Macaca mulatta: one gene and its partner. The protein of the gene in region 1 interacts with the protein of each later gene in a pairwise test. Links are inferred from orthologs where the notes say so. Each region holds a gene or a part of one and is shown on either strand. Other genes may lie near its edges.

Evidence for each region.
Region 2: the proteins of PDE6D (region 1) and RND1 interact in a two-hybrid assay, tested with the Homo sapiens proteins (2 studies listed by BioGRID). The link is inferred for Macaca mulatta from reciprocal best matches to the Homo sapiens genes PDE6D and RND1.

Annotation. Positions count from the first base shown.
Region 1 is NC_133417.1:137,045,068-137,051,773, reverse strand, and holds the start of PDE6D (retinal rod rhodopsin-sensitive cGMP 3',5'-cyclic phosphodiesterase subunit delta), read left to right. Parts: upstream 1-3,132; 5' UTR 3,133-3,327; coding exon 3,328-3,377; intron 3,378-6,706. UniProt on the Homo sapiens protein: Promotes the release of prenylated target proteins from cellular membranes. Modulates the activity of prenylated or palmitoylated Ras family members by regulating their subcellular location.
Region 2 is NC_133416.1:56,014,182-56,019,687, reverse strand, and holds the end of RND1 (rho-related GTP-binding protein Rho6), read left to right. Parts: intron 1-2,270; coding exon 2,271-2,516; 3' UTR 2,517-3,365; downstream 3,366-5,506. UniProt on the Homo sapiens protein: Lacks intrinsic GTPase activity. Has a low affinity for GDP, and constitutively binds GTP. Controls rearrangements of the actin cytoskeleton. Induces the Rac-dependent neuritic process formation in part by disruption of the cortical actin filaments.

The sequences.
Region 1 (6,706 bases):
GTGCAGTGGCACTATCATAGCTCACCTCAGCCTTGAACTTCTGGGCTCAAGGGATCCTACCACCTCCACCTTCCAAGTAGCTAGGACTACAGGTGCAGGCCACCACACCTGGCAAATTTATTCTTTTTTTTTTTTTTTAGAGATGGGGTCTCTCTATGTTGCTGAAGCTGCTCTTCCCTGATCTCAAGTGATCCTCCCACCTTGGCTCCCAGAATGCTGGGATTACAGGTGTGAGCCACCACACCCAGCCCATGGCTGCAGTGAAAGCCCTTCCAAGTGTGCCTCCCTCCTAAGTCCTCTAGCTTTGTCGCACCCCACCCCCTTCACAGTCCAAACTCCCATGCCCGGCACAACTTATACCATCCCTCTCAGACACCAGGCCTATGCTCAAGCTTGCTCTTTTTTGGAATGCTCTTTTATTAGCCTGTAAAAAACCTACCAACTCTAAAAGCAAGGATTTCTGAAATCCAATGCAAAAAACACTAACCATAATAGAAAACATGGAACTATTGCACTATGTTAAAATTAAGAATTTCTGCTTGGCAGATGCAGTGGAGTACACCTAAAGTCTTACTATAGCTACTTGGGAGGCGGAGACAGGAGGATCACTTGATCCCAGGAGTTCGAGGTTGTAGTGGGCAATGCTGGTGCCTGTGAATAGCCACTGCATTCCAGCCTGGGCAACATAGCAGAGACCCCATCCCTCAAAAATATAATTTGTTTCAAAAGTCACCAGTAAGAGAGTGAAAAGACAAGCCACGCCTTGGAAAAGATATCTGCAAAGCATGTATCAAGGAACTCTATATCCAGACGGTAAAGAACTACAAATCAATAAGAAGACAGCCCAATTTTTTAAAGTTGGGAAAAGAATAGGCACTTCAGGAAAGACAACGTTCAACTAGCCAACAAGCATATTGAAAGGCGCTCAACATAAGGAAAAATGTAAATAAATACCTTAATGAGATACCACATTCAGCCAGAATGGCTACAATTAAGAAGAATGACAACAAAAATCCTGTGTTGACAAGGATAAGAGGCACCTAGAACTCTTTCATATTGCTGGCAAAGGCGTAAATTGGTACAATCATTTTGAAAAATTGGCAATGTCTACTATCACTGATCATGTGCATAACCTCCCTACACACCGGCAATTCCTCTCCTAGAAATGGGTGCAAGTGTCTACAAAAAGAAACATGTAAGAATGCTCGCTACAGCTTTGCTAGTAATAGTCCAAAAAATAGCAACGCAAATGCCCACCAACAGTGGAAAGGTAAATTGTGGTATATATATACAACAGAATACTATTCAGCAGTTAAAAGGCTACACACAACATGGATGAATTTCACAAAAATATTGATAAAGTAAAAAAGCCAGACACATACTGTACATACTGTATTATTACATTTAACTGGAATTCAAGAACAGACAAAACTGATCTATGGTGATACAGTCAGAAGAGTGATTATCTCAATATGTAAGGAGGTAATACTGATTGGGAAGGAGCACTAGGCGTGCTAGAAATGTTCCATATCTTGATTTGGGTAGTGGGGACAAGGGTGTATACCTATGCAAAAATTGTTCCCATACTGTATGTCACATCTCATTTAAAAAAAAAAAAAAACTTTTTTAACATGGAAAAAAACTTCAAGTCCAAATGCCACCTTCTCCATTAAAGTTTTGCCAGCTGCAATTAACCTTTTCATCAGGGCCTCCTTAGCATTCTGATGTCGTTTCTTTTATGCCATTTTATCACACTCCATCTTGAATCTCAGTGGAGTCTCCTTATTTCCCTAAATAGATGTTTATCTTCCTGGTGGCAGTGACCATGTCCTTCACCTTTTACCCACTCAGTGCCTGACAAATAACAGGCTGAAAAGATATTTATTGAATTACATGGAAGAAAAAATTGGGTGAGTTCCCAGATGGGTGAAAGAGGGGACAGGCAGAGGAAGGAAGGCCAAGAGAAGGACAGAGGAGGTTTCCAAGGAAACCGTGGCTCACACTGCAATTTTACCTACTTCCTGAAATCACATTAAATGTCACCTTGAGTGGCAAAAAACAAAACACCAAGTCCTACCTAGGCTGAAAATAAATATCACACTCCCTCACTTGAAAGAAATCCACCAAATAAATGCTACCTAATTCTGGGTGTTTCAACACTGGATAGGAAAACTGTTCAAGGAGAATAATTCACATTGCTATGCTGCTAAAAATATCACCTCCTTAGTGTGGTGCAAAGAGTCCAGACTGCAAGTCAGCCGACTTAGGGCTGAATTCTAACTCTGCCCGAACTTGCTGTGATCTGTGGCCAATCCCTTCGCCTCTCTGGGCCTCAATTTCCTCATACGTAACAACGGGGTAGATTAGCAAAGTCCCTTTATGTTTTGATATTCTGAGTATACAATCCATAGCTCTCCCGGTCCAAAGCAGGAATACAGCAAAAACCCCTGAAAAACACGTAAAAGGCGCCTCAGACCAACAAGCACGATTTGAAGAAGTCATTTTGTTATCTTTCACGGTTTAATCAGTGTTTTTGTTTGTTGTTAGCAGCCTTACCATGATTTGCAGAAGATGTCTGAGTTCCATGTAAACAGAAGTTAACTCTCTGCGGGCTGTCATCTTCTTTTGACGGTGAGAAGGGTCTTCCCGCTGGGTTTCAAGTCTCGGGATTCCGAAACCACCAACTCAGCGGGCGGGTTTGTGAATTTGCGCACACTGCGCGGCACACTGGAGTCTAAGTTACAGAGGAACCGAGTGCAGAGGATGCTGGGATTTGTAGTCTCCGGACCTCTTTGTGGTGCGCTGGGATCTGTAGTCCCCCGAGTGCGCCGCTGGAATGCTGGGAAATGTAGTCTCTGTCGCGTAGCACAGTGCAACCAGCTGCCGTCTCGAATGGCTAGTGTGCTCAGCTGCGGGAGCAGGTCCCTAAAGCCTCTGCAGATCCGAAGCCAACACTCCGCTGGGACAAACTCTAGGCAATAACACCAGATGAATATTGTGTCCTATGGGACTTCCCGGGGAGGGCCCTTCCCATTGACGTTAACAGTCCCCCTGCGAAGGCGCAGCGCGCTCCTACTGGCTGGTTGGGATGCCAATCACCAAAGCTGGCTTTCCATTGGTTCCAGGGGGGCACTGCGAGGCTAGGGGGAAGGAGAAGGGATCAGGAGCGGGAGCTGAGGGGAGAGAGAGGCCGGTCCTGGTCTGGCCGCTGCGGCTGCTCGCCCGAGGTCTCCAAGCCGGGCTGCGGCTCCATCCTCGGCTCCTGGGCACCGTCTGCGAGGCTCCGCCGACCAGAGTGAGAAAGCCGCGGGCGGCTAGCGCCGCATCATGTCAGCCAAGGACGAGCGGGCCAGGGAGATCCTGAGGGGCTTCAAACTGTATCCGCCCGGGAGCGGGGCGGGGCCGGGAGGACTTGGGAGGCGGCCGCTCACTGAGGAGACTGGCCGGGGGCGGGGGCCGCGCCAGGTGGGCCCCGCGGAAGAAGGGCTGCGGGAGGGGAGAGGAAAGGAAAAGCGTGCCGTGCACCCGGCGGGACCAGGCGCGAGAAGCGCCCCCAGGGGCGTCCTGAGGGAGGAAGGGGACGTTGACGGGAGCCACAGGGGGTGGCGGGTGGGGACGGAAGAGCTTGGGGTACTGGGCTGCGAGAGGTGCCGGGCGTCGCAAACGCTATCGGAGAGACCGGCTGGGTTCCAATCCCCGGCCGGGACCCAGAGGCCGGGAGGGGGCTGCGGCCCGCAGGGAAGGGCTGAGGGGGCGCGGTGGGCTGATCTTAAAGTCTAGAAGCCTCTTTGGCTATAAGCCTACCCGAGGAGCGGGGAACAGTGACTTGGAGCGGGCGACCTTGTGTGGGACAAATACCAGTGCTTTTAAAACTCTCTCAGGGCCCCCACCGCACCGCACCCCACCCCCGTCTGGTTTCCACAACTTCTCTTCCAAACTTGTGGCTTCTTCCAGGGCTAGAGTAGTTGGGGGAGGTGGGGAAAGAGAAGTCCAAGATCAACCTCGTCTTAACACTCTTGGTCTTCTGAGGCATTGGTCACTGCTTCCCCCTCAGCGCCTCAGTTTCCTTTCCAGCAACACGAGGACCATAGGCTTAGGTGTGGGGTGCCTCGCGCTGGGGCTCCTAGCCGAGGTGTCTTTGCTCGCTCCTGTTGGTGCGGTTAATGCCTAGCTGTGGTGGAGCTGTCCAGCAATAGTGTGATGTCGCTGGGGCCACGGTAGGATAGTGGGGTAGAGAAATCATTGCCTCGGGCCTGTTGTGATGCCGCTCTTGCAGCCTCTCCTTAATGTGGTAAGGAAGCTTTGTGTTTTCGTGGAGTGTGTTAGTCTGTCACCATATGATGCAGATGAAAAAATGCAAACTTGTATATTCAAATTTTCCATTCTCCTGCCGGCTTTAATCTCTGCATACATCCTGTCTGTAATCTATAGTACGGAACGTTCTTAAACTGCTCCCTCAGTGAAAAGGTAGTCACCGCTTTAGGACTCCTCCCTTGGAGGTTTAGTAAAGCACTGTTTTCTTGATATTCTGTTGTGTTTTCACAATGTCCATGTCACCCTTGCAAAATTTAATTGCTTTGCTATAATCAGAAACCAAGTTGGTAATACATTTTAGACCACAGTGCAAAAAGGAAGTTTTGGATGTACAAGTGAGATTTTTCAAGTGAAAATTGATCTAGGCTTTTAAAAAAACCTAAAGGCTGTATCACCTTTGCATACTACCATTCAGGATAAAGTTTCAGTACTTTCATGTAGTGATTTAGTAGCAGCCTCTTTAGAGCTCCATGTGCCTTTCTGTGTTTCTCTCCATAATGGATCATATAGGTATATAGGGATGACTGAAGTGCTGGAAAAGCTATGACATGAATTTTATTTTTCCCTCAAGTAATTTGTATTATTACTTAACATATAACAATGTAATAATATTGTTACTTAACATGCTGTGTAAGCAGTAAACCAGAAACTATGGAGAACTGAGAGATTTCAGAAGCAACGTTTTCATCTGATTGGAAATACCATATTGCTGAAAAGAAGAAATACCTTTTTAATGGCTTTTGAACAAAGCAGAAAAGTTTGAGCTTCTCACCTTCAGTCTTGGCTCTTGAACCTGTTAAGAAAGAGGATAAGAGACAAATACGGAAAAGAGTTTCAGAAAGCAGAATCTGTGTCAGCCCACTAGAAGGAAAAGCGAATCAACCAATTCAGTGATGTTAGTGCATCCAGAAACAGGCTTTCGGGGAAAGCTTGACCTGAGCTGATTAAATCCTGAAGCACCAGGGAAGCAGCCACATCAAAAAGTTAGCATGAGAGCAGTGGCGTGCTCATCCTCTGGTAGCCTTTATTGGGCATTTGTGGAGTAAGAGGGAAAAGAAAAGCAGGAATGTTAAGATATGCTACTACCTTCAGGAAAAAGTAAAATTAATGTTTTAGTAAGAAACTGACTATTGTCTACCTTTTATTGGGTAAATAGATTTTCCGAACTTTCTTTCAGAGTATCTGTTTCTGTAAGAATAGTTTATCACTACAAAAAGAGCACCATTATGTTCTCCCACCAACAGTGTTGATAGTACTCAGTTTTCCACATTGACTAGGTCGGTCTTTTTTGTTTGCCAGTTTAGATAACAAATGATATATTGTTTTAATTGGTATTCTCCTGGGATCCCTACATCCATGAAAAGGTAATGTAGCATAGTGGTTAAGAGCTATACTGGACTATGTCGCTATACTGCCTGCATTGGAATTCCAGCCCTGCACTCCTAGTTGTGTGTCCCTGAGCAACTGCTTTAACCTTGCCTCAATTTTCTTATCTGTAAAATGCAGAAAATAATAGTATACTACCTATCGCATGGGGCTTTGAGAGTAAATGAGTTGATATCTAAAGCATTTAGAAAAGCACCTGATCTACAGTAAGCATTATGCTTTAGCTAGTGTTATTCTTGTTGTTATTAGATAAGTTGCACATCTCTATTTGGCCATTTCTTTTTCTTCTGTAAATTGTTAATTTTGTTTTTGCCCATTTTACTATTAAATTGTTTATTTTTCTTATTTGTAGATGTTCTTTACATATTGTAATATCAATCCTTTGCCTATTATATATTTTGCAAATATTTTCTTTCAATGTATTGTCTCCTTTTTTGTTGAACAGAATTCTAAAATTGTCATTTCAAATTTATTTTATTTGTTTGAGATGAAGTCTCGGTCTGTTGCCCACATTGGAGTGCAGTGGCACAATCTTGGCTCACTGCAACCTCCGCTTCCCAGGTTCAAGCAATTCTCCTGCCTCAGCCTCCTGAGTAGCTGGGATTACAGGCACATGCCACCATGCCCGGCTAATTTTTGTATTTTTAGTAGAGACGGGTTTCACCATGTTGGCAAAGCTGTCCTCAAACTCGTGACCTCGTGATCCGCCTGACCTCTGCTTCCCAAAGTGCTGGGACTATAGGCGTGAGCCACCGTGCCTGGCCTCAAGTTTATTAATATTTGCCGTCTGGCTTTTGCATTTTGTATCTTGTTTAAAAAGATCTTTCTTATCCCAAGATTAACTAAATATCCTATCTTTTCTTCTCTTTTTAATGTTTAGCTCTTTAATCCACCTGGAACGTATTTATACATTTGGTATAGGGTAGATATCTAAGTACTTCTGCTGTTTGAATAGCCAGTAGTTCCAGTACTAAGTACTAAGTCCGTCTTTTCCTCACTGTTTTGA
Region 2 (5,506 bases), on another chromosome or scaffold:
TGTCAGTTAGCAGGCGAGTTATTCCTGTGTGTGCCCACATTTCTAAGACTGTATTCTGACCACCTGCATTAGAATCATTAGAGGTGTTCATTAGAATTTCACACACACACAAAAAGAGACCCTGTCTCAACAAAAAAAAAAAAAAAAAAAGGAGGAGGGGCACTGTGCACGGTGGCTCACGCCTGTAATCCCAGCACTTTGGGAGGCCGAGGCCGATGGATCACTTGAGCTCAGGAATTCAGGACTAGCCTGGCCAACATGGCAAAACCCTGTCTCTACTAAAAATACCAAAATTAGCAGGTTGTGGTGGCATGCACCTGTAATCCCAGCTACTCGGGAGGCCGAGGCAGGAGAATTGCTTGAACGTGGGAGATGGAGGTTGCAGTTAGCTGAGAATGTGCCACTGCACTCCAGCCTGGGTGACGGAATGAAAGACTCTGTCTCAAGGAAAAAAAAAAAAAGAGCCAGATGTGGTAGCTCACGCCCATAATCCCAGCACTTTGGGAGACCGAGGCAGGTGAATCACTTGAGGTCAGGAGTTCAAGACCAGCCTGGTCAACATGGTGAAACCCCGTCTCTACAAAAAATACAAAAAATTAGCCAGGGATGGTGGTGCACACTTGTAACAGAGTGAGACTCTGTTTCAAGAAAAAAAAGAAGTGATCTGCCTAGGCTGGAGTGCAGTCACATAATAGTTGTTTATACAGCCTTGGCCTCCCGGACTCAAGTGATCCTCCCTCCTGTTTCCCTAGTAGCTGGGACTATAGGTACGGGCCCCATACCTAGCTAATCTTTAACATTTTTTGTAGAGACAAGGTCTCATTATGTTTCCCAGGTTGTTCTTGAACTCCTGACATCAAGTGATTCTCCCACCTTGGCCTCCCAAAGTGCTGGGATTACAGGTGTGAGTCACCACACCTGGCCTGGAATCTGCATTTTTGATAAGACCCCTGGATAATTTCTTATGTGCATGAGAGCATAGGGTTGGGGGATGGAGTTTCGCTCTTGTCACCCAGGCTGGAGTGTAGTGGTGCGATCTCAGCTCACTGCAACCTTTGCCTCCTGGGTTCAAGCGATTCTCCTGCCTCAGCCTCCCAAGTAGCTGGGATTACAGGTGTCTGCCAACACACCCGGCTAATTTTTGTTATTTTTAGTAGAGATGGGGTTTCACCATGTTGGCCAGGCTGGTCTCGAACTCCTGACCTCAGGTGATCCACCTGCCTTGGCCTCCACTGCACCTGACCTGGGGAGCTCTTAAGAATACTAATGCTGGCTGGGTGTGGTGGCTCACGCCTATAATCCCAGCACTTTGGGAGGCTGAGGCGGGTGGATAACAAGGTCAGGAGATCGAGACCATCCTGTTTAACATGGTGAAACCCTGTCTCTACCAAAAATACAAAAAATTAGCCGGGCGTGTTGGCGGGCGCCTGTAGTCCTGGCTACTCAGGAGGCTGAGACGTGAGAATGGCGTGAACCCAGGAGGTGGAGCTTGTAGTGAGCTGAGATTGTGCCACTGCACTTCAGCCTGGGCACAGAGCAAGACTCTGTCTCAAAAAAGAAAAAAGAAAAAGAATACTAATGCCTTGGCTCTATACCCAGAATTTTTTTTTCCTTTTCCTTTTTTTTTTTTTTTTCTCCCAGAGACAGGGTCTTACTCTGTCACCCAGAATGAAGTGCAGTGGTATGATCCGAGCTCACTGCAGGGTAGAACTCCTGGTCTCAAGGGATCCTCCCTAGTATTTGAGACTATAGTTTTGTGCCCACTTCCAGCGAATGTTTAAACATTTTAAAAAAGTTTTTATTATTTTATTATTTTTATTTTTGAGATTTATTTTTGTAACCCCAAAGTGCTGGGATTACGGGTATGAGCCACCGCGCCTGGCCGCCTAGGCTGGTCTTGAACTCCTGGCCTCCTCAAGTGATCCTCCTACCACAGCCTCCTGAGTAGTTGGGATTAGAGGCACTAGCCACTGCCCCAGCTATCCCCAGGGATTCTGATTTAGTTTGGCATCAATATAGTTTCAAGAGTATTCCAGGTGATTTATAATGTGCAGTCACACATCGTCTTAAGAAAAAGAGGCATCATCAGACAGGGTGTATGCCAAAAAAAAAAAAAAAAAAGACAAGACAATCGAATAATCGGCAGAGGGTGGTATTTGGAGATCGGCAGCTGGGTCCCCTCTGGAGTGGCCCTGGGGAGTGACACACAAGAGGCAGCGTCTCAGAGCCATTGTGGCCCACTGCATTAATGCCCTCACCCCCTCCTGCAGGGCTGTGCAATAGCCAAGCAGCTGGGTGCAGAAATCTACCTGGAAGGTTCGGCTTTCACCTCAGAAAAGAGCATCCACAGCATCTTTCGGATGGCTTCCATGGTGTGTCTGAACAAGCCTAGCCCACTACCCCAGAAGAGCCCTGTCCGAAGCCTCTCCAAACGACTGCTCCACCTCCCCAGTCGCTCTGAACTCATCTCTTCTACCTTCAAGAAGGAAAAGGCCAAAAGCTGTTCCATTATGTGAAGTGGAAATTGGAGGGGGGAGACAACCCCCTACTTCCTCCCTTGGGGTGCAGAGGCACGGGGAGAGGGAGGATGAGACAATTTAGGACACTGGACATGAGTTTTTCAGATGGCCACGGTGAGGGCTTGGAAGGAGACAGGAATGGGGCGAGGAAGGAGCCAGGCCCGGCATGAGGACCTGATGCTGAGATAGAACCATCATACCCCAAGCTAGGCACTAGGTTGTGGAGGGGGCGGCTACCCCAGTGCCCCCCGGCTCCAGAGGAAGGAAAGCTGTGGGGGACGGGGGGCATGCTGGCCTCCTGGGCTTGGAGGCCTATAGCAGCCTCACCTTCAGCATCATGCCTCTTCCACACAGCGTTTCCATGCAGGCCAGGGGATGGGAGGGGTCCCAGAGCCCTTCCCTTCCCCTCTAAGGAGGCAGCAGTTGAACAGAGTGGGGAAGCCGAGTGGCAGCTCCCTTGGGGGTTTAGCCCAGGTGCTTCGTAAATGCAATCGGAAGTGCAGGAGCTGGTCAGAGCCAATGAGAAGGAAACCTCATCTTTGCATAGCCCATGCCTCATGGAGAGGTGACATCATACATTCACATGCTTCTCACCTAAGTCCCCAGGGTCCAAGGGAGAAGCCCCAGACCCCCTTCTCTTGCAGAGTGTGGGGGTGGTGGTGCTGCAGGGGCAGGGCTGGGTGGGGGTCACCAGACTTTTTCTGCCCTTAGGGCAGTACAGCTGGCATTTGTTTTATAGACTCTTGTCTTTGGAATTGGGGGGAGGGGGGAGTGTTTCAATCTGTTATATGTTCTGTGTTTAATGAAGAAAATCTATTTATTAATGAAAAATATAATACATATAAAGAGTTTGGCTCTGCATTTTTTTCTGTTTTCTTTAGTTGTTACAATCGGTATTTTTTTGTGTGTGTCTTTTTTTTTTTTTTTTTTTTTCTCCTTTTCGTGGAGCACGGGGTCTCCCTATATCGCTCAGGCAGGTCTCGAACTCCTGGGCTCAAGCTATTCTCACATCTCTGCCTCCGTAAGAGCTGGGATTACGGGCATGAGCCACTGTGCTGAGCCCTTTGATTGATGATAATGAGAGAAAAGCTGTCCTGGGGCCCTTTCTGTGGGTTGCAGAAGGGCTGCCTCTACCATTCCCCAGCTCCTCCAAGAAGGAGCTTCTCTCCTCCCCCATCCCCCTACCCCAGCCCCGCCCAAGACCTGCTAAACCAAGGAAGGGTTCCTTAGCCCTAGAGCAGGGGTACAGGGGTTCTCAACCCTGGAACTATTGACATTTTGAACTGGATAATGCTTTGTTGTGAGGGACTGTCCTATGCAGCCCAAGATGTTTAGCAGTGTCCCTGACATCTGGTGGACGCTAGAAGACAGCACCCCACTCTCCAGCTATCACACCCAAAAATGTCTCCAGACATTGCTAAATGACCCCTGTGGAAAAATTCTGGTTGAGAACCACTGCCCTGGAGAGTATAGAGGAGAGAAAAAGGTTTGATGAAATAATCAGTAGAGAATCCAAACTGCTGAGATCCCACTCCACATAGGTGGACAGACTAAGCCAAAGCTGGGGGAGGCTCCTGGGATTCTGGTTTCCTCTGAGTTCGAGGAGAGGTGACATTGCCTTCATGACCTTCCAATTCCGATGCCTACTGATGGCAGCTCAGGGACCTTAACTCTTCCTTTCTCAGTGACTTATAGCTCTTGTTTTCCAAGTGCCATAGTGTAGTGCTAGTGCTAGAAATAAAGTTAACATGTACTAGGTCGGGCGCAGTGGCTCATGCCCATAATCCCAGCACTTTGGAAGGGTGAGGCCGGTGGATCACAAGGTCAGGAGATCGAGACCATCCTGGCTAACACGGTGAAACCCCATCTCTACTAAAATACAAAAAATTAGCTGGGCATGGTGGCATGTGCCTGTAAGCTGAGGCAGGAGAATTGCTTAAACCCAGAAGGCAAAGTGCAGTGAGCTGAGATGGCACCACTGCACTCCAGCCTGGGCAAAAGAGGGAGACTCTGTCTCTAAATAAATAAATAAAGTTAGCATGTACTTAATGAGTGTTCAGCACTGTGCACTGTGTTGAGGGCTTTATATGATCACGTTTAGCCTCATAAATGATAAGAGCTAACATTTGTTCAATGTTTACTATGGGTCGGGGGCATTTATGAGATTTTAATTTTTTTTGGAGACAGGGTCTCACTCTGTCGCCCATGCTGGAGTACAGTGGCATGACTGACTACTGCTCACTGCAACCTCACCCTCCTGGTTCAACTGATCCTCCTATCTCACCCTCCTGGGTAGCTAGGACTACAGGAGTACCACAGTAGTCTATTTTTTGTAGAGATGGGGTTTCACCATGTTGTCCAGGCTGTTCTCAAACTTCTGGGCTCAAGTGATCCTCCTGCCTCGGCCTCCCAAAGTGCTGGGATTACAGGCATAAGCCACGGTGCCCGGCCCCACTTATGAGTTCTTTCTACGTTATTTATTCCTGTGATAACCCTACGAGCCTATGAGGTGCTATTTTTTTTTTTTTTGGATGGAGTTTCACCCTGGCTGGAGTGCAATGGCGTGATCTTGGCTCACCACAACCTCTGCCTCCTGGGTTCAAGTGATTCTCCTGCCTCAGCCTCCCAAGTAGCTGGGACTACAGGCATGTACCACCATGCCTGGCTAATTCTTTTTTCTTTTTTCTTTTTCTTTTTTTTTTTTTTTTTAGTAGAGATGAGGTTTCTCCATGTTGGTCAGGCTGGTTTCGAACTCCCGACCTCAGGTGATCCACCCACCTCAGCCTCCCAAAGTGCTGGGATTACAGGCGTGAGCCACGGTGCCCGGCCACTATCTACTTCATTTTACAGAAAAAGAAGACCGAGGTTCAGAGAGATTAGGTAATGTGCACAAGGTCACACAGCTAGAAAGTGGCTGAACATGGATACAAATCCAGGCAATCTGGCTGCACATCATGCACTCTAACCTGCTCTGCTGTCCTGTCCTG